Linked DNA regions of Sus scrofa. The protein of the gene in region 1 interacts with the protein of each later gene in a pairwise test. Links are inferred from orthologs where the notes say so. Each region holds a gene or a part of one and is shown in the gene's direction. Other genes may lie near its edges.

Region 1 (4,431 bases):
GATATAAAGTCTAGTTTTGAGAATAACCAGTGGTAGCTCACGATTGGGTCCCCTGTGCTAACTTTCATTCTTTGACATCCTTATCAGTGTTTTCACCCACTTTATTGAGTCCTGGCTGGAATCTTGATGCACACTTGACCCTCAGGAAGTTGATTCATCTCTGAGGACCTCATTCCTCATGTGTTTCTATAAAGTGTGATGGGGGCGCATCGGGGAAGAGGGAAATGTCTTTTTCAATAGAAAGTTGCATTTTTCTTCATGAGCATCAGCCTATCGGCTCTACTGCAGAGATCTAACCAGGCTTATTTTGAGAGGCTGAAATAAGTGTTACAATTCTTATCTCAATGCCACATCTCACAGTGGCGGACCTTATGAAATGCGGCAAGCAGATAGCCCTTCTAACTAGCAGAAAATCAGCTGTGGGAGTATTGAGGCGTGTTGGCACCATCTGATTTAAATTCCTCAGCACTTACATGTAAGCAAAGCAGACTCCTGAGTTGAAAGGCATCTTGCATCCCTGGAGAAGCAAGAAAGAAGGAACGTTAGCTCCACCCACAGGTGCAGATTTGCTGAGTCGAGCTCTGCTTCCCCTATCTGAGAATTGAGCACTAAGAAAAACCTTTTTAATAAAAGTCAAAACTCCTAGTTAGAGAACAATGCTTAGGGAAGTGAAGGTGAATTTCTAGGCTGAAAGGTATTGCTGTTAGAGAGATCTGAGTAGGCGAAGGTTCTGAGGAAAGTGGCTTCCACCTCTGTTATGGATCCTCCATGCGTGGAAATGATGGGCATTTTTAATCAGATAAACCCGTTAACATGGGTCATACAGTTCCTCATATGAAATCAGTAGCAAATTTGCTTTTGTTTATCTAGTTTAGGTGTATTCACATCGCTTTTCTAATTTAACCCACACGTACAACTAAAAAAAAAAAAAAAATGTTTTTTAAAGTTCTACCCTTTGAAATTTACTGCTAGTTTGAGGGGAGAAGAGTTAAGAAAGGTAAAATATAATTAATATTATTTATGTTCTTTTTTTAGAACCACACCCATAGCATATGGAAGTTTCCAGGCTAGGGGTCAAATTGGAGCTTCAGCTGCCAGCCTATGCCACAGCAACACCAGACCTGAGCCGCATCCGTGACCTACACCACAGCTTAACGGCAACGCTGGATCCTTAACCCACTGAGCGAGGCCAGGAGTTGAACCCACATCCTCATGGATACTAGTCGGGTTCTTTACCACTGAACCACAATGGAAACTCCCTCTTTAAGTACATTTTTAACCACATTTTGTTTCTTTGAAATCCTAAAAAAATGCAAATCTCGTTGAAAACTGAGCTTGAGTCCCAATTTTGCGCAAGTTCACTAAAGTCTTTTAAACTCAATTTTCTCAATATTTCCTAATGTGAAATATGTGAACATTGTGTGAGGTGGTTGTGAGTTTAGCAATGACATGTGTTAAAGACCTAGCACACATTAGCACAGTGCATGGATCGTGTGCTGATTTGCTCTGCAGATTACTAAATTAACCAGTAACAACTTAGATAAAGGATGACAGAATCTGCTCCAAGAGAAATCCATTGTCAAGTTAAGCTGCAGGTGTGTAACTCATGCAGAATCAAGGCCAACAGAATGCTTAACCACCAACCCTTTAATGTGCTCCTCCGTCTTGACCAGGGGGAGGTGACAAAGGATAGCGAGATGCTGGGTAGAAGCCAGATGAGAATCTGGGCCAGTGGGAACTGGGCTGGGGAGGAAGCCTTGGGTCTGCTCATGTTCATGAGGAGCAAGTAACCTTTCACCACTTCTCCAAAAGTATCTAGAAGATCCTGGTTTTCTTAAAGAACAGTGGTCACCTGGAGTTTATCTGCAAGTGATTATTTGTCAGGCACAAAAATAATCCTTTTCTTCCTGTGGTGTACAGTGAAGAGTTAATGGCATTTCTGTAACTTCTTTTCAGACTTAGCATTTTCATTTAGCTGATTAAAATGTGGTGTAGATGATAATTATGCCAAGTTTTTTTTTTAATCATTCAAACACTCAGAAATGATTTTAAAAATCTTTAAATGGCTTGTACCAGATTTTCATTTCCCAAAGGATTTCTAGTTAGGGAAAATTTGCTTAGATTATGCCCTTTTGTCATCTTTTCAGTAAATGTTAAATCAATGCAAAATGAGTAGATTTGTATTTCTAAAAATAACCTCTTTCACAGGAAGAAGAACTAAGGAAGAGTGGAGAAGCCAAATATGCCCACTTGAGCGATGAACTTCATGTATTAATTGAAGTTTTCGCTCCACCTGGGGAAGCTTATTCACGTATGAGTCATGCACTGGAAGAGATTAAAAAATTCCTGGTTCCTGTAAGTGTTTTTCATTTTTTACAAAGATGTTTCTTATGAGTTTCTATTATAAAATGTGCCTTTGATCTTCACTGACTTTTTAGATGGAAATTTATGCTGCAGACTTCTTCTTTATAGAGTTGATATGAAGGTAAAAATAAAAAAGAATACCAAAACACTCAGCACAGGACCTGACATGTTGCCACATAATGACGGTTTGGCAGCAGTATTTGTCTCAACTGCATTCTGTGCCCTGCGCTGTTCATGGCCATGAAGAATAAGAATAAGAGAGTTAACACATAAACACAAATATGTAACTGAAGTTGCGTACCTTTCTCTTGTGTCTAATGACTTGGTAGTTGACACATATTATTCATAATTTTTAATAGAGAAATATTTTCAGGTACAGTGGGAGGGAAAAGAGATTGGATGTGTAATATTTGTAACAAGACGATGTGTTGTTTGAAACTATCAAATGTGCTTTTATGTCATAGTATGCCAGGTGCTGGCTCATTATAAAATATAATATAAAATACCAATATTAATAGAATTGGACATTTGTTGACGTCATGCAAAAAATTGGAAAAATGAACTCATTGTGCTAAATGAGAGAAGCAGAGAATGTTCATTTAGTAAGGCAGCAAATTCAGGGATGCACACTGAATAGAATTCTCTACTGATTTTCTAAGAAATAGAAGAACGAAGCTTTCCTAAAGGTTGACAATTTCGCATTCTAGGAAGAGGTTGTTTAAATAGAAATCTTGGCACCAGGCTTAGAGCTGGGAATAAGATAATTGGAAGAGAATGCTGAGTACGGTTTTTGGGAGTGCTCTGGCAGACCAGGTCCTCAGCAGAGAAAGAGAATAGCTAAGCTTAATCCGTGTGATGAAGAAACACTGCAGTTTTCTAAACTAATTAATGAGCTCAGAGGAAGTCATGAATCTTACAGTTCATTGGTTGGCCCGTGATTTGAGAATGGGGAAATAAACGAAAAAAACAGAATTCCAGAATGGAAAAGTGTCAAAATCAAACAACGTAATCTATGTGTAGGCCCAGTTTAAAATTCTTCTGTCAGGAAAAGGTTATAGAATAACCCCATACTGCTCTGATTATTCCATAACTTTATCTGCACACCTTATTATCTAGTGTAGTTTGAATACCTCTCTAAATAGACCCTGTATTTCTTAAGAATGAAGATCCTGTGTTCTCTACACGTTGATGCTGTTGGTTACACATTTGTACTGTATTTAGCTCAGACCAGACCTCTGATGATATAGGTATTATAGGAAAAAGCTACACCGTCTAGACTAGTAACTCATTTTGTGCCTGTAGACGAGTCAGTTAAATTCTCAGAACTTCAGCTGGATTCCCTGATGGCTCAGTGGGTTAAGGATCTGCTGGGGTCACTGCTGTGCCACAGGTTGCTGCTGTGGCAGCTTCCATCCCAGGCCCAGGAACTTGTGCATGCTGCCAGTGCAGCCAATTAAAAAAAAAAAATTAGCTGATTCATCTTTACAAAGAAGCTAAGGAGATAATAATAACTGAAGGGCTTCTGTCATAGTTATTGTGACTATTAAATGGGGTAATGCATATAAAAAGGCATAGAAAATTGTAAAGCACTATATAAATTGATGTTTTAAATCTTTTTTATTATTACAAGTAGATAAAAACCATCTTGGAATGATGGAGGTGAACTGTATAAGAGAAAATCCTATTTCATTGCTACCCAGATTTGAGACATAGGCTGTAGGCTAGGTTAACCCTACTTTATTATAAATCCCAGTAGTATATCTCACTTACTCTCTTCTTAGACCTCTTGATACTTGTAATAATTTCCTTATGAAATATATACTCCACGAGACAGGGCTGGCAGCCTGGCACCGTGTTTGATAGCCTGATTGAGGGACTGGCTCATTAATTGGTACTGGGCATGATGCAGAGGGTTCATAGCCACCTGGTGAGGTCTGGGAAACTCTCCAGGGTGCTCTCCCTATAAAGATCCAGATGAAGACTGAAACCCCCACTCTAGCTGGCGTGACCTGCTCCTGCAGCCCCTCCGGTTACCGCTGCCCCAGCTGCCCCCTCCCTGTGCAGCCC
Region 2 (4,860 bases), on another chromosome or scaffold:
CAATGCCGGATACTTAACCCACTGAGCGAGGCCAGGGACCGAACCCGCAATCTCATCGTTCCTAGTCAGATTCATTTCAGCTGCGCCACGACAGGACCTGCAAAGCCAACTTCTTATAAAGTCAAACATACACTCAGCCCATGAACCCACAATCCTACTCTTACATACGGTATTTATCCCAGAGCATTAAAAATGTATGTTCACATCAAGACCTGCACAAGAATGCTCACGGCAGCGCTGTTGGTAGCAGCGCCGAAGTGGGACAGTGGGGGTCCGAGTGGGAGTCAGAGGTGCACGAACACCGACACGGCGGGTATCCACTTTGCAATGGAAAGAAACCAGCTACCAACGCAATGCAACGGCAGGCACAGATCTCAAGGGGACCAGGCCAAGTAAAAGGAGCCAGTCCTTTAGGGCGGAGTGCTGTGCAGTTCCCATCATGCTCAGCTGAAACAAATCTGACTAGCATCCCTGGGGACGCAGGTTTGATCTGTGGCTTCACTCAGTGGGTTAAGGATCTGGCGTTGCCGTGAGCTGTGGTGCAGGTCACAGATGGGTTCAGATCTGGTGTTGCTGTGGCTGTGGCGTAGGCCAGTGGCTATAGCTCCAGTTTGACCCCTAGCCGGGGAACTTCCATATGCCGTGGGTACACCCCTAAAAAGACAAAAAAAGAAAAAAGAAAAAAAAGGCACAGTGCTGTATGATCCCACTTACAGGATGTTCTTGACAAAATTTTTTTTTTTTAATTTTTATTTATTTATTTTTGTCTTTTTGCTATTTCTTTGGGCCGCTTCCGTGGCATATGGAGGTTCCCAGGCTAGGGGTCGAATCGGAGCTGTGGCCCCCGGCCTACGCCAGAGCCACAGCAACGAGGGATCCGAGCCGCATCTGCAACCTACACCACAGCTCACGGCAACGCCGGATCGTTAACCCACTGAGCAAGGGCAGGGACCGAACCCGCAACCTCATGGTTCCTAGTCGGATTCGTTAACCACTGCGCCACGACGGGAACTCCAAATTTTTTTTTTTCTTTTTTGGTCTTTTCGCCATTTCTTGGGCCGCTCCCGCGGCATATGGAAGTTCCCAGGCTAGGGGTCAAATCGGAGCTGTAGCCTCCAGCCTACGCCAGAGCCAGAGCAACGCGGGATCCGAGCCGCGTCTGCAACCTACACCACAGCTCACGGCAATGCTGGATCCTTAACCCACTGAGCAAGGGCAGGGACCAAACCCGTAACCTCATGGTTCCTAGTCGGATTCGTTAACCACTGCGCCACAACAGGAACTTCAAAATTTTATTTTATTATCTTATTTTTTTTGTCTTTTTGCCATTTCTTGGGCCGCTCCCTCAGCATATGGAGATTCCCAGGCTAGGGGTCGAATCAGAGCTGTAGCCGCTGGCCTAGGCCAGAGCCAGAGCAACTCGGGATCCGAGCTGTGTCTGCAATCAACACCACAGCTCACGGCAGTGCTGGATCCTTAACCCACTGAGCAAGGCCGGGGATCGAACCTGCAACCTCATGGTTCCTGGTCGGATTCGTTAACCACTGAGCCACGATGGGAACTCCTTTACAAAATTTTAGTGGCTGCCAGAGTTTAGGGGATAGAGGAGGGTGAAACTGCAAAGGGGCAGCATAGGGAGCTCGTGGGGTGATGGAGCTGTTGTGTGTCCTAATTTCTGTGGGGTTACACACATCTATACACATGTCAAAATTCACAAAGCAGTGCACTAAAAAAAGTCCATTGTATGTGTGCTGAGATAAAATTAGCAGGCATACTGCCTCATTGCAATTATTATTGCTATTATGGTTGGATTTTTTTCAGGTTTTAGTTCCACATTTTATCTCAACTGCCTCGTTATGCTTAAATTATGATGTGACGAGCAACACTGCAGGCCCCAAAAGCACGAACTAGAAGGATCCTCCTTTATTGACCTACCACCTCCTCCAGCTTTTAGGGAAGAGACCCAGTCAGCACCTCCCTCCTCAGGGCCCGCTGGGCAAAACTACTGCTTTCTTAGAGGAAGCACAGGGATCCCAGAGCCAGGAGCAGGCGCTGGCAGGTGACCTTTGGGTCTGCCCATGGTGATGCAGGCGGCACAGGCACAGGCCAGGCGACCAGGGTGTGCTGGCCCTGCTCCTGTGGCTTCTCCCCCTTTGTGATTCTGAACCGCACAGGACAGCGCAGAGCTGGGCTGCAGATGCAGGATGACCTTCTGGGCTGGCTGGGCCCCTATCTCCCCTCGAGTCTGGTCAGGCTGTGGCCACCGCCCCCTCTAAGGCCCAGCAGGGGTGGCCAGCATGATAGCCCCTCACCCCAGGGTCACTGCCTCTGATAAGAGCCCCCTCCCCTCTCCCAGCCCCTGACCACCGCCTGGCCCCCACCCTGGCTGCCCGTATATAAGGGGACCACGGGGGCCCAGCACCACCGACGCCAGCTCTCAGCGCGCCCAGCTCCAGACCCGCCGCTGCCACCATGTCTCTGACCAAGGCCGAGAGGACAATTATCACGTCCATGTGGGGCAAGATCTCCAGCCAGGCGGACACCATCGGCACGGAGACCCTGGAGAGGTGAGCGCCAGCGGGGCCGGCGCGGAGCCTGGGAGGAGGTGACAGCGCGGTCACCGAGGTCAGGGGTCAGTGAGCAGGGCCAGGGAGCACAGGGGCGAGGAACGAGGGCCAGGGAGGACAGGGGCCAGGGAGCAGCGACAGCATGAGCAGCGGCGAGGAGGGTGGACGCGGCCAGAGAATTGGGAGAGGGGTCGAAGGCGGAGGGGGGACGAGCGTAGGACCCTGACTCTCCCCTCCCCGCCGCCCCCCGCCCGGCACGCGGGTCTCCGCAAGCAGCTGACCCAACGAGTGAGTGAAGGAACGAATGCGTGAGTGAAGGAACGAATGAGAGAGCGAGCGAGCGCGCCCACCCGCCCAGGTCTGGACCCCAGGGCAGGGAGGGCGAGCAGGCGCCGGGCTGCACGCAGCCAGGGGCGGCCCGCACGGCCCGCACGGCCGACACTGTCCTCATTGAACACTCGACGTTCTGGGCACCGGGCCGCTGACCAGGCCCGCGCCGAAGCGTGCGAGCCGCGGGCGTCGGCCTCACGCCCGCTCCCGGCGGGCGCCGCAGGCTCTTCGCCAGCTACCCCCAGGCCAAGACCTACTTCCCGCACTTCGACCTGAACCCGGGCTCGGCGCAGCTGCGCGCGCACGGCTCCAAGGTGCTGGCGGCCGTGGGCGAAGCGGTCAAGAGCATCGACAATGTGTCGGCCGCCCTGGCCAAGCTGAGCGAGCTGCACGCCTACGTGCTGCGCGTCGACCCGGTCAACTTCAAGGTGGGCGCGGGCGGGGGCGGGGCGTGGTCTGCCGCAGGCCCCGCCCCTCCCTGGCTGAACACCGCCCCCCCCCGCCCCCAGTTCCTGTCCCACTGCCTGCTGGTCACCTTGGCTTCGCACTTCCCCGCCGACCTAACGGCCGAAGCCCACGCCGCCTGGGACAAGTTCCTGACCATCGTGTCCGGCGTCCTGACCGAGAAGTACCGCTGAGGCCGCCGCCAGTCCCCCCAGACACGCTGTGACCCCTCCCTTTCCCTGGAGCCCTCCCACGTTTTCACCCGGGACTCTCAAATAAACGAATGGAGACCGAGGTAGCCTGGTCCTGCGTCCTTGGTATTGGGGGAAGGAAAGGAGAATGCGAGGGAGCAAAGGGGGCTTCGCCCGAATGCGGATGTCCCTGCTGTTACCCCCGGCCTGGAGGCCACTCCAAGGGTGCTTCAGGCGTCCTTGGTCCTGCGGGACCCAGAGTCGCAGCGGGAGGGGGCAGAGTAGCCCAGGACCGCCTACTCTGCTTCCTCAGGTCAAACCTGCGTGCGAGAAACTCTCCCGCCTCTCAAGTCGCCCAGCCCAGTCTGTGGCTTCGCTCAGCGCACTGGGTACGCGCTGAGACTCAGGGCACTTTCCTCAATGCTTATGGTCATCGGTCACGCGCTGCGGGGACCCTTGATACCTCCTGGCCACCTTGGCCCGCGATCTTTCTCCCATCCCTCCAGCGGCTCCCTCAGGAGGAGCAGCCACTTTGCTCGGATCCCCCAAAACTCTGCAGCTAAGCACCCCCACCCCGCCACGGCGTGATTCCATGCCGGTGACCGGGATCTCCACCGCCGAGGCCCCCGCGGCCACGGCGGGGTCCTGGGCCAGTGGTGTTTCCCCACGCCGGCCCAGGGTCTCCCAGTGCCCGCCGCGCTGCGGCAGATAAGGGCGGGCGGGGCACCGGGAGGGGGTGCTGTATAAGGAGGCCGGGGAGGCGGGCGCGGCCCCGACTGCGCCCCAGGCCAGCGTCATGCTTAGCGCCCAAGAGCGCGTCCACATAGCACAGGTCTGGGACCTGATCGCCGGCCACGAGGCGCCCTTCGGGGCGGAGCTGCTGCTCAGGTGGGCTGGGGAGGAGTCTCCAGGATCACAGCGAGGCGGGGACTGGGGTGTTGGGCCTGCGACCGGGGGGGGGCGCTACCGAGGGTTTCCCGGGGTCTGGGCGGCGCAGGCGCCGAAGGGACTGCGCCCCCCACCTCCCCTGCACTCCCGCAGGCTCTTCACGGCGTACCCCAGCACCAAGACCTACTTCACGCACCTGGGCGACTCCCCCGACCAGGCGCGGCTGCTAAGCCACGGACGGCGCCTGCTCGAGGCGGTGGGAGTGGCCGTGCAGCACGTGGACAACCTGCGCGCGGCCTTGAGCCCTCTCGCGGACCTGCACGCGCACGTGCTGCGTGTGGACCCCACCAACTTCCCCGTGAGCCACCCCGGGAGGCAGCAGGGGTTGCCCGCGCAGCCCAGGGGTTAGGGGAGGGATGGGCAAGGACCGGACCCCTTCT
Region 3 (4,961 bases), on another chromosome or scaffold:
CCAGAGCCAGACTCTGTCACTATGGTGTGACAGAGTCTGGCTCCTGGAGTGGGACTGGAACTTTTCTGGGGCAGGCAGCAAAGCAAAGCATGGGTCTCTGCTCTAAAATCCCCCTGTTTTTATGCAGAGGGTCTGCCCTTTTAAGACTTTCTAGGGATATAGCTTGGGCCTCTGGTCTGGGCAGGCAGGGGTCTACACTAGCATTTTGTTGTTGTTAATTTTATGCCTGCACCAGCAGCAGATGGAATTTCCTCAGCCAGGGATTGAATACCTGCCACAGCTGCAACAGTGCCAGATCCTTAACCCACTGCACCAGGCAGGAGATGAAACCCTCGCCTCAGCAGGCAACTCGCTACCCTTAAGCAGCTGTGCAAGCTTTTTCCACCCCATGGAGGGTTCTGCGACACAGAAGGTAGTGTAACCAAGGCCTGGGCAGGGTGAAAGTGGTGGCCGTGAGAGGGGCTCCCATAAAGAGGGCATGGGGATCCAGAGGAGCAGCCCTGGGGGTAAAGATCCCTGCAAACCTGGTTCTCCTGTTGCAGAGGCCTCCGGATTCGGACTTTCATACAGGAAAAAGATTCAGGGGGAGGAGCCAAGGGAGTGCAGAATAGTGTTGGGGGGGGTGCTGGAGCACGTGATTAAGGGGAGGCGGGGGCTGAGCTGAATGTTGAGGTCCAGTGGGACTCAGGGCTGCGCCCAATTGTGGGTTTGAGAGGCCAGGACAAGGTCAGCCAGCCATCTAGTGCTGGGATGCACAAAAGGGTCTGGCCAGCTGACTGGGGGTGTGGGCGTTGCACTAGACGGAGTGAAGTCAGGATGCAAGTTGGGATTTGTAGGCAAACTGGGTTGGGTGAAATTGGGGTACCCCAAAGTTGTAAAGTAGGAAGAATGGGATCATGACGAATATTTTTGGGAGGGCTTTGGGGCCAGTCACGTTAAGCGGGACATTCAGGAGCATTGGGTTCTGGGCACTCTGGGGTGTCGGTTACACGTTGGCAAATATATAAGAACTGATGTCAGGATTCATCAGTTGGGGTGTCTGAGAGCTGATCCTCAGGTGCGTATGGGGATCTGGCTGAGGTCCTATGTGGGCGATTATTGGAGCACTGCAAAGGACGGGGTTGCAGCGGCCAGGGAGCTTTCCCAGGAGGAAGCAGCAGCCTGAACCCCTTTTGTTCCCCGCCGCAGGCCAGGGACTGGCACGCGGAAGTGGGTCAGCTCCGCCCAGCAGCGCGCTGGCCCCGCCCCCCGTCATGGTCTGGAGACTGCAGACCATGCGCATCCCCGCCAGGCACTTTGACCCCCGCCAGCACGCGGGAGGGGGCGGGGTCGGCACAGGCCCAGCCCCCCAACTCATAAATGTGAGGCACAGCCACGCCCTCAGGGGCCCTGGATTGGCCGACTCGGGGAGGGGGGGATGGGGGCGGGCTTAGGGGGGGCGGGTCCCAGCGGCAGCGTACAAAAGGCCGTACCCGGAAACTGCCCCCCCTCATTCGCGCGTTAGAAGGCTCAGGCCGTTGTGCTGTGCTGTCTTCCCGCCTGCGCCAGGGACCTGCCCAACTCAGTGGTGAGGGCCCTGGCGGTACCGGCTCCGCGGGCCCGGGGCGGCGGGCGGCCAAGGCGGGCCGGCCAAGGCGGGGCGGTGGCAGCACGCCCCTGGGCGGGGGGCGGTACCGGGGCGGGTCCGGGGTGGAGTCCGCTCCGCCGGCGGAGAGGGGTTGCGGAGACCGGGCCGTGCCGCGGCCGGAGGACGTCCTCCGCGGGCTAGAGCGCCGCGAGCGGGTCACCGCCGTAAAATGGCGGCCGCGAGAGCGAGGCTGCGCCCAGCGAAATGGCGGGAGCCCCGGGTACCCGGATGGAGTGGCGCAAGCCGCAGGCGGGGCGCATGCGCGGGGGCGGGGCCGGGGCTACTCCCCTCTTTCCTGTTGGAGTTGTGTGAGGGCGGCACATCATGGGTGCCGCCCACTCTCCGATCCCCAGGTTTGGGCCCAAACTTGCAAGGGGTTGCAAGGCTGCGGGTCGTCTTCAGGCCTGGTTTTGGAGTCATTCAGCGCAGGCCCCTTTCCTGTAAAGGGTCGCTTTAAGTCAGCACCTCCCCACATCCCGCTCCTTTTTAACATCATAGCACCCTACAGTAGACCAAGCACTTTGCCGCCCCTGTATAATAGAGAGGGTTAGAAGTTAGCTCCCTCCCCACCCCCCGACATGTTAGCAAAAGACAGAAGCCAGTGTGCACTCAGCCGGTGGCAGTGGAGATTGATGCCTTCCTTCATTGTCCAGCCCTAAACGTCCTGAGAGGGTGTCAGCGTAGCTGGAGTTTTGGGGTCCCAAATCCAGGCAGCACTGAAGAGTGCTTGCTGCAGAACCGCGGTCTGGCCCTAGCCTTCCGGGAGCCCCCAATTTCGGGAGTGGAGTTGGCCCAAGCACAGAAAAGGGGCAAGGGGGAGTGATAAAGGAATCAAGGGCTTGTTTGAATTAAGCCCTAGGTATGAGCTTGGGATGGTTAAAGGGCACAAAAGCAATTTTCCAATGTTTGTCCCAGGAGCGTGTGTTATTTGTCTAAAGTAAAAAACGGCGAGGGGGTGATTCTCCCGGCCCCTGCAGGACCTCTGAGGATTTCAGTGGTGTTTGCCACAGGTGACCATGGCATCAGACGAGGGCAAACTTTTCGTTGGAGGGCTGAGCTTTGACACCAATGAGCAGTCGCTGGAGCAGGTCTTCTCAAAATATGGGCAGATCTCAGAAGGTGAGGCTGGTTCCAGATTGGCTGGCAGCTGAGCAAGGCCGCTCACAGGGAGAGCTGGGTACTGACCTCAGACCTCTCCCTTGCACAGTGGTAGTAGTGAAGGACAGGGAGACCCAGCGATCGAGGGGCTTTGGGTTTGTCACCTTTGAGAACATTGATGACGCCAAGGACGCTATGATGGCCATGAACGGGAAGGTGAGAGGCGGCTGTCCTGGGGTCTAGAAGGTCCGGGCTGCAACCTGAGTGCAGGAGGTGCGGGGGCTAACCATATCGACTTCTGGTCTCCAGTCTGTGGATGGGCGGCAGATCCGGGTTGACCAGGCCGGGAAGTCATCTGATAACCGATCCCGTGGGTACCGAGGTGGCTCCTCGGGGGGCCGGGGCTTCTTCCGTGGGGGCCGAGGCCGGGGCCGTGGGTTCTCCAGAGGTGAGTGCCACTTGCAGGGAAGAGGTGGGGGCACTGCTTCAAGAGCTGACACTCACTTCTTGTCTCTGTATAGGAGGAGGGGATCGAGGCTATGGTGGTAGCCGGTTCGAGTCCAGGAGTGGGGGCTATGGCGGCTCCAGGGACTACTACAGCAGGTGAGGGTGGTGGGCCCATCTAGGGGCCAAGGGTGTCTGCCTGGATGCTGGCATGTGGGCTGCTCTAAGTAGCCTAAGGTACCGTCCAGCGCCCACCCATGTCCTTCCTACAGCCGGAGTCAGGGTGGCAGCTATGGTGACCGGAGCTCAGGCGGGTCCTACAGAGACAGCTACGACAGTTACGGTAAGTGGCGCTCTGAGGGCCTGCAGTGGGAGCACAGTGAGCCTTAGTGCCCTTTGTGGGCAGCGCTCAGACCTGCTCACTGCTTGCCCACAAGGTCCAAGACTGCCCTCCTGGGTCTTGGTGCCAGCAGCCATTTCTACCACAAACATAATCGTGAAACTAGATTGACCAAGAAGGAAAGGGAGAGCGAGGGCCCACGGAGCAGGCAGCATAAGTGCATGTGGGCCTGCCGTCGCCCGCCACCCTCGGCCGTGGGGGGGTTGGTTGCCCCCGAGGCCGCAGGGCTGAGCCCCCAGGTCTGGGCCCGGGCGTGGAATGCTGCGTCCTGTCGCGTGCTTCAGTGCCTTTACACTGTGCCTGCTTCTTCTTCTCAGCTACACACAACGAGTAAAAATCCTGCTCAAGATCGTCCTTCCAATGGCTGTATATTTAAAGATTTTGGGAGCTCCGCTGAATCGTTAATGTGTAGTGAATCCACCTCCTTGTACCCACTTTTGTAGTCTTATCAGTTCCTATCTTGTCAAACACAGCCTGACTGCTTCTGACCCCAGATGGCCTCATTATTACACTTTTCTTTTTAAAGAAGTGCCATCTGTTTTTGAGGATTTTGAACATGTTTTGCAAAGCACTTCAGGTTTTACTTTTTATCGTGAGCCATGAGCTTTTTAGAAAAATCATTGAGGGTTGCGAGAGTTTGAGTTTGGGTTGTGTTGCCTTTTTTCTCTTTTTCGTGGGGTCGGCCCCAAGTAGTTAGGGGCCCCGAGTCACTTGTCTTTTGAGTCTGAACGGACTCTGAATCCGCTCTTTGTCGGAAGCTGAGCACACTGTGGCTTTTTTTCAGCTCCGTGTAATGTTCCTGAGCGTAGCATGGTATGGTAGGACCGGGTGGCGGCAGAGGTGCCCGGCTGCCTGGCCCCACCGCCCCTCTGTACTGTATCATCCACGGTAGACTTGCAGACGTCCCAAGAGTTTCTTGAAAATGTTTATTTATATTGTCTTTTTTTTTACTGGAAGACGTGTGCATATGTCATCGATGTTGTATTTGAAGTGGCTAAGGAATTCTTGTATGCAGTTTTCTTTGGCTTCACGAAGCCGATTAAAAGCCCGTCTGAATGAACCTGCTCTGACCATCTCCCTTTGATCACACCACACTTTCCCTGCTGCGGACTCGCAGCAGGCAGACCTGAGCAGAGAGGGCAGCTTGAGGATTAGGTCCACCAGTCCTTCCTGAGGCTGCCGAGAGCTAGAGGAGAAAGGCAGAGGCAATGACGCTGGCCAGGCCCCTGTGACAGCGGACTGCCACTGGTCCCAGTTAGGTGAGCAGGTGGGTGATGGGAGTGGGCTCTTGGACCACAGGGCAGCACCGGGAGGCCTCTGGCAGTGGCAGCCAGAGGGCTCGACAGGGCGGGCAGCCAAGCAGGGACGGTGGACACACGGGCACCTGACATT
Region 4 (5,201 bases), on another chromosome or scaffold:
TATTTGCAATCAGTTTTTGGGCCACACCCACAGCATGCAGAAATTCGTGGGCTGGGGATTGAACTCATGCCACAGCAGTGACAATGTTGTGTCCTTAACCTGCTGCCGCCAGGGAACTCCTGCAAGAGAAAACTAACTTTGAACTCTAATGGAGTAGACTATGACCTCTCCCCCAAATTTATTTTTTTCATTTCTAGCACTGTATCACAGAAGAATAGACCCAGTTATTAATATCAAATTTTGCATTTTATCAATAAAAATTGTGGAAACTTGTTTTCTCTCTTGTTATATAAGTATTTACATAGTATCCTTGATTTTGCCTCTTGGTCTGCAAAGACTGGAAAATCTACCGTCTGATCTTTTACAGAAAAAGTTTACCAACCTCTGATGTTTAGTCTGGTTTGTAAGACTGCTCCAATGGTTAGTTTTATGAATCAACTTGGTGAGACAATAGACCCTAATTAATCAACCGAACACCAATCTCGGTGTTGCTCTGGAGGTGTTTTGTGGATGTAATTAACATCTACAACAGGATGATTTGAAGTGAAGATTCTCCTCAGCAATCTGCGTAGGCAGGATCCAATCAGTTGACAGGCCTCAACTGTGCTTTCCTTGAAAAAGAAGAAATTCTGCCTGTGGACAGCAGCTTCAGCTCCTGCCTGAGAGTTTCCAGCCTATATTTCCTAAAGGCCTGCACCATGTATTTCAGACCTAACCTAGCCAGCTCCACTTTCTCATAAGCCAATTCCTTACAATTTAATCAATCGATCAATAATCAATCCACATACATATCCTGCCATTGTGGTCCTCTGGTGGAATCCTGACTGATTTAACTGCTCTCTATTAAAAAATACTACCCAATTTGTGCTGCTAGAAAACTGAAAAGGGAATAACTTTAGATAAAATGAAATTAATAGTTTGCCATAGCTGCCTGTCAGCTGCAATATTGCCTAATCTATCTTATTAACTCTCTAGTGTCAGGCAGGAAGGGGTAGTGAGGCTTATGAATAAAGAAAATTCAGGAAGACTTTAATTCTGTCTTATCGCTGTGGATCAAAGAGATATTTTTGCTTCTTGATAGAATCTATTCCCAGAACATTTTCTGAGAAATGTCTCCCTTAGCCTAACTCTAGGACTCGTTTCCCAAGGCCCATGATGGCTGGCTGTTAGAGCATCCTGGACTTCTTGTCACTGTTGGTAAATTCTCTGCTTGAATATTTTCAGAGGAGAGTTTCCTGAGCTTTTATCACATTTTCAAATGGGTCTGTGGCACCAAAAGGATAAAACCCACAAGTGACCTCCCCTCCTGGTGGGTATTTAACTCAAATATTAACTATATGCATTATCTCCTCTAATCCTCACAGTAACTGTGTGTGTCACCTGCTGCATGCATTGTCTTCTCAGAGTCTTGCAATAACAAATGAAGTAGGTACCATTATCCCATTTTACAGATGGAAAAATGGAAGCTTAGAAAGATGAAATAATGTCTAGTTGCTTAGCTGTTAAACATCAGAATGTGAGTTTGAACCCATATCTGACACCAAAGCTCCTGCTAGGTGGGGGGAGCTTGATGTAATCACTAGACTCAGTTACCAGGGGACATCCTGCACTTGTGATGATGGCCTGGGTGGCCCCAGATACCTGCTTGGTTTCTGCCAGCTTACCTGGGGAGGAGACAAGTTGGGAGTGGCCCCTAAGCTGTGTGGGGGCCTTTCAGCAGCTAGGCTAGTCTTCTGCAGTGCCTCTGCCCAGAAGGAGGAGGGAGGAAGAGGAGGAGGAGCAGGGTGCCCCAGGGAGGAGAGGGCGGGCCCTGAGAGGGAGTTTGAAAAGAGGAAGGAAGTGGGGCCCGGCAGAGCGCCTAGCCACCCCCTGGCTGCTTCCCCACAGGACGACTCGAGGTGCCTGCAGGCCCCCCGCCCAGCCATGGGCCCCTGGCGCAAAACTGACAAGGAGAGGCATGGCGTGGGTAAGTGTGGGCATGGGGTCCTCAGCAGGGTGAAGGGCAGGTGGCAGGAGAACTGCACGGGAAGATGCTGCGGAGCCAGCGGCGCGGACATGGGCTCACAGCACTGACTCAAAGTTTGAGAGTGCAGAGGCTCCTTTGGCCTGCTGTGGGGCCAGCTGGGCAGGAAAAGGGTGGCAGGGAAGAGGCAGGTGGGCATGCTGCCCAGGAGGCTACACCTGTCTGCTCCCTCCCCTGCCCACCGCAGGGCTTCCCTCTCTCTCTCCAGGGACTTATGCGTTTCCTAGATGGGGACGAGCAAAGCACTTAGCAACCTGGCTCTGGGTGTCAGGCTCATAGCATTCCAGGGAACCCCTCACCCCCTCTGGAGACTGGGACTCTTAGAGGGAGCGTGATTCTCTCTCCCGGCTGGGCCTTGCCTGGCCCCTCATTGCCTCCCTCCACCCCTGTCCAAAGTGACACCCATCTGCCTGCTTCCCCTGCCTGTTCCTCCTGGGTCAGATGACCCCTGATTTGGCAGGGCGTCCAGAGGGCTCTTCAGGCTGGGGGCATAGGGCTGGAGGGCGGGATCCTTCACTCAGCGCCAGAGAGCTTCTGGGGAGGAAGGCTCCAGCCCGTTTATATGGGGACATCCAAGAAGTCAGCCTCAGCAGCTTCAGCCATCTAAGCTCCCAGAGGCCTCTGCCTCAAGCTCAGGGGCGGAAGTGGTGGCTGGGGGAAGGGAGGCTTCAGGTACTGGGACGCTTTCTACTAAGTGGCACCCGTGGTGCAATCCCCATAGATTCACTGTGGTTTTCAAATAAGTGTGAATTTAAAAACCACCCTGTGGCTTGCTACACAGGCAGATATCAGGCACCACCCCCAGAGGTGAGGGTTGAGCCGGTCTGATGTTGGGGGACCCAAGGGCCAAGTGTGATTAGGTGCAGAGAATCCCAAGGGTGCTGCTGGAGAATCCTTGCCCTGGAGGGCTCGACATTTGCTCAGTCACTTACTAGGCTCCAAGAGCTGTGGAGATGCATGCTCCCCATCCAGAGAACAAATGATAATCCATGCCCTCAAGGGGGCTTAGTTTCTCCATCTATGAAGCGGGAAGTTTGAACCAGACTCAGTAACTTTCGAACTTCAAAGCTTCACTAACTGTGACCCTTCCATCTGAGGGTATCAGATTGAAACCCTTCTCAGGGAAGCTGGGGATGGATAAATGGAGCAGGCCACTGTAGGTGGAGGGGCCAGTGTGGTCTAGGACGTGAAAGTGAGACATGAAGGGAAGATCCAGGAAAGAAGAGCGGGCGCTCCTTTGGCCTTGAGCGGGGGTGCATGGGAGGGGTGATTATGCTCGGAGTTAGTTGAAGGCATATTTGTGAAGGACAGACTAAAAAGTTGAGGCTTTTTCCGTGTAGGCAATGAGGAGCCATAGCGGGCTTCTGAGCAGAGGAGGGACATGCGATCTGTACTGAAGCCAGTGTTGGGGGTGCCAGAGTGGCAGGTGAGGGATGGTATTTAGGGCAGTTAATGGGGGAGATTGAGTGTGGTGGAGGGCCCCACCCTCCATCCTTAGGGCTGCAGGCTTTCCTGCTGTGCAGACCCCGTGCCGTGGTGTGCAGATCATGGGCTCTGGTGCCTGCTCTTGGATTCCAGCTTCCAACGTAGGCAGCCCTGTGACCTAAACAAGTTACCTGCTTTCTCCAGGCCTCAGTTTCCTAATCTGTATGGAGGGTAATAACAGCACCTGCTTCCTAGGTGCGGGTGGGAAGATTGAATGTGTTAATTCACAAGAAGTACCTAGCAGGGCAATTGTACAAATCCTCACTGTAATCAATTATGATGTTTAGACTTTGTGCTATGCATGGGGGCCCAGTTCAGAACATGACATTACAGGATGGGGAGGCTTACAAAATGAAGTATGTTCTCACCATCCCTAGCTGTGGAAATCCCACCTGTGTGCTCAGAGAGTAAGAACTCTGTGAGGCCCCAGGCTCAGAGGCTTCTTCTGATGGCACGTCTGACAGTTTTCATGCCTACTGATGAAAATTCTGTTTTGTGGAGGCCAGATCAGAAGGTCTGTGACCCTTTAGAGAGCTGGGAGCCTTTCATAGTTGCCTGCTCATCAAAGGATCTCTTTTTCTCTGCTGATGAATGTCCTTTGAAGACTCTGGGTAGATGGAAGGGAAAAGCTTATGTTAGGACAACAGGGGACTGGATTCACCCAGCGGAAAATACAGTGGCCTGAGCATAAGGAGTCTGGGTTCTAGTTCTGCCGTCATCACTATTTGCAGACAGATCTGTGCTTTATTTTCCTCATCATAAGTCTAGATATTAATTCTTTTCTATTTCAAGGTGTTATTTTATGAAGGGCACTTGAGATGACAAGCCCAGGGCCTTGGAGGAAGGCAAAGTGCTACGTAGAGGATTAGGGGTTCTTGGAAGATCCCTGGAGTCCCAGCAGGCCAGACCTGAGCTTCGCTTTCCCATTTGGTTTCCTCATCAGTTAGTGGAGTCTGTTTGTCTGGGGGCCTGATTTTTCAGGGGACAGCTTCATCAGCATAACTGCTTGTGCTCTCTCTTACTGCCTTGTGGGCAAGCCAGGGCGACCCTCATGTAGATCCCTGGCCAGGTTCTTTTTACATCCTTGTTAGAGACTTAGAATGTGATCCATTAGAGGTCCAGAGAGGACCTTTGGGTAGAAGCAGGTGGGAGTTTCCACAGACAAGACAGTGCAGCTCGGATGTAAGAAAATGCACAGTGTCTGTGCCTCAAGGGAGACGTGAAAAGTTAGATGCTTGGCCTCCACCTGTTTCCTTATCTGTAAAATAGGGGGAATAATGATAACACGGATCTCATGAGATTGTTCGAAGAATTAAATGGGGATTGAATGTGTGAAAAGCACTTAGTAATGAGATGGGGTCAATGACAGCCACTGAGGTCAAGGGGGTTACCTAATAGTTGTGGAGCCAAGGGCGGCAGAAGGTATGCCACCCCAATACCAGGTCGGTACAGTCATGCCTCACAAGAGCAAGTGCAGCATTTTCTGTTTTTCAAGACTCATTCCTATGCCATATCTTTGTCTGGCTTCAGACAGAGACCTATGTGAGGCAGTGTATTATTCTTCTCATTTTATAGAAGAAGAGTTCCAGGGTTCACATAACTTGGAAAAACTTGGGCCGTGCCTTAAATTCAGTTGACTCCAGGCTCTTTGCACAACACTAGGAGGGAGTCTGGGAGGAGGACCGTCATAGAC

What was found.
Region 2: the proteins of KHDRBS2 (region 1) and HBZ interact in binary tests that used the Homo sapiens proteins (3 or more experiments, as listed by UniProt). The two-hybrid records come from large-scale screens. The link is inferred for Sus scrofa from reciprocal best matches to the Homo sapiens genes KHDRBS2 and HBZ.
Region 3: the proteins of KHDRBS2 (region 1) and CIRBP interact in binary tests that used the Homo sapiens proteins (3 or more experiments, as listed by UniProt). The two-hybrid records come from large-scale screens. The link is inferred for Sus scrofa from reciprocal best matches to the Homo sapiens genes KHDRBS2 and CIRBP.
Region 4: the proteins of KHDRBS2 (region 1) and DOCK2 interact in binary tests that used the Homo sapiens proteins (3 or more experiments, as listed by UniProt). The two-hybrid records come from large-scale screens. The link is inferred for Sus scrofa from reciprocal best matches to the Homo sapiens genes KHDRBS2 and DOCK2.

Annotation. Positions count from the first base shown.
Region 1 is NC_010449.5:27,615,692-27,620,122, reverse strand, and holds part of KHDRBS2 (KH domain-containing, RNA-binding, signal transduction-associated protein 2), read left to right. Parts: intron 1-2,208; coding exon 2,209-2,355; intron 2,356-4,431. UniProt on the Homo sapiens protein: RNA-binding protein that plays a role in the regulation of alternative splicing and influences mRNA splice site selection and exon inclusion. Binds both poly(A) and poly(U) homopolymers. Phosphorylation by PTK6 inhibits its RNA-binding ability.
Region 2 is NC_010445.4:41,489,534-41,494,393, reverse strand, and holds HBZ (hemoglobin subunit zeta), read left to right. Parts: upstream 1-1,510; 5' UTR 1,511-2,472; coding exon 2,473-2,567; intron 2,568-3,120; coding exon 3,121-3,325; intron 3,326-3,406; coding exon 3,407-3,535; 3' UTR 3,536-3,636; downstream 3,637-4,860. Other genes in the region: HBM (hemoglobin subunit mu), read left to right, coding at 4,329-4,420, 4,574-4,778. UniProt on the Homo sapiens protein: The zeta chain is an alpha-type chain of mammalian embryonic hemoglobin.
Region 3 is NC_010444.4:77,190,850-77,195,810, reverse strand, and holds the start of CIRBP (cold-inducible RNA-binding protein), read left to right. Parts: upstream 1-1,437; 5' UTR 1,438-1,567; intron 1,568-2,542; exon of another isoform or gene 2,543-2,637; 5' UTR 2,638-2,643; coding exon 2,644-2,746; intron 2,747-2,834; coding exon 2,835-2,941; intron 2,942-3,034; coding exon 3,035-3,173; intron 3,174-3,246; coding exon 3,247-3,328; coding exon of another isoform or gene 3,329-3,332; exon of another isoform or gene 3,333-3,441; coding exon 3,442-3,559; 3' UTR 3,560-3,886; coding exon of another isoform or gene 3,887-3,903; 3' UTR 3,904-4,961. UniProt on the Homo sapiens protein: Cold-inducible mRNA binding protein that plays a protective role in the genotoxic stress response by stabilizing transcripts of genes involved in cell survival. Acts as a translational activator.
Region 4 is NC_010458.4:54,245,185-54,250,385, reverse strand, and holds the start of DOCK2 (dedicator of cytokinesis protein 2), read left to right. Parts: upstream 1-1,677; 5' UTR 1,678-1,923; coding exon 1,924-1,966; intron 1,967-5,201. UniProt on the Homo sapiens protein: Involved in cytoskeletal rearrangements required for lymphocyte migration in response of chemokines. Activates RAC1 and RAC2, but not CDC42, by functioning as a guanine nucleotide exchange factor (GEF), which exchanges bound GDP for free GTP.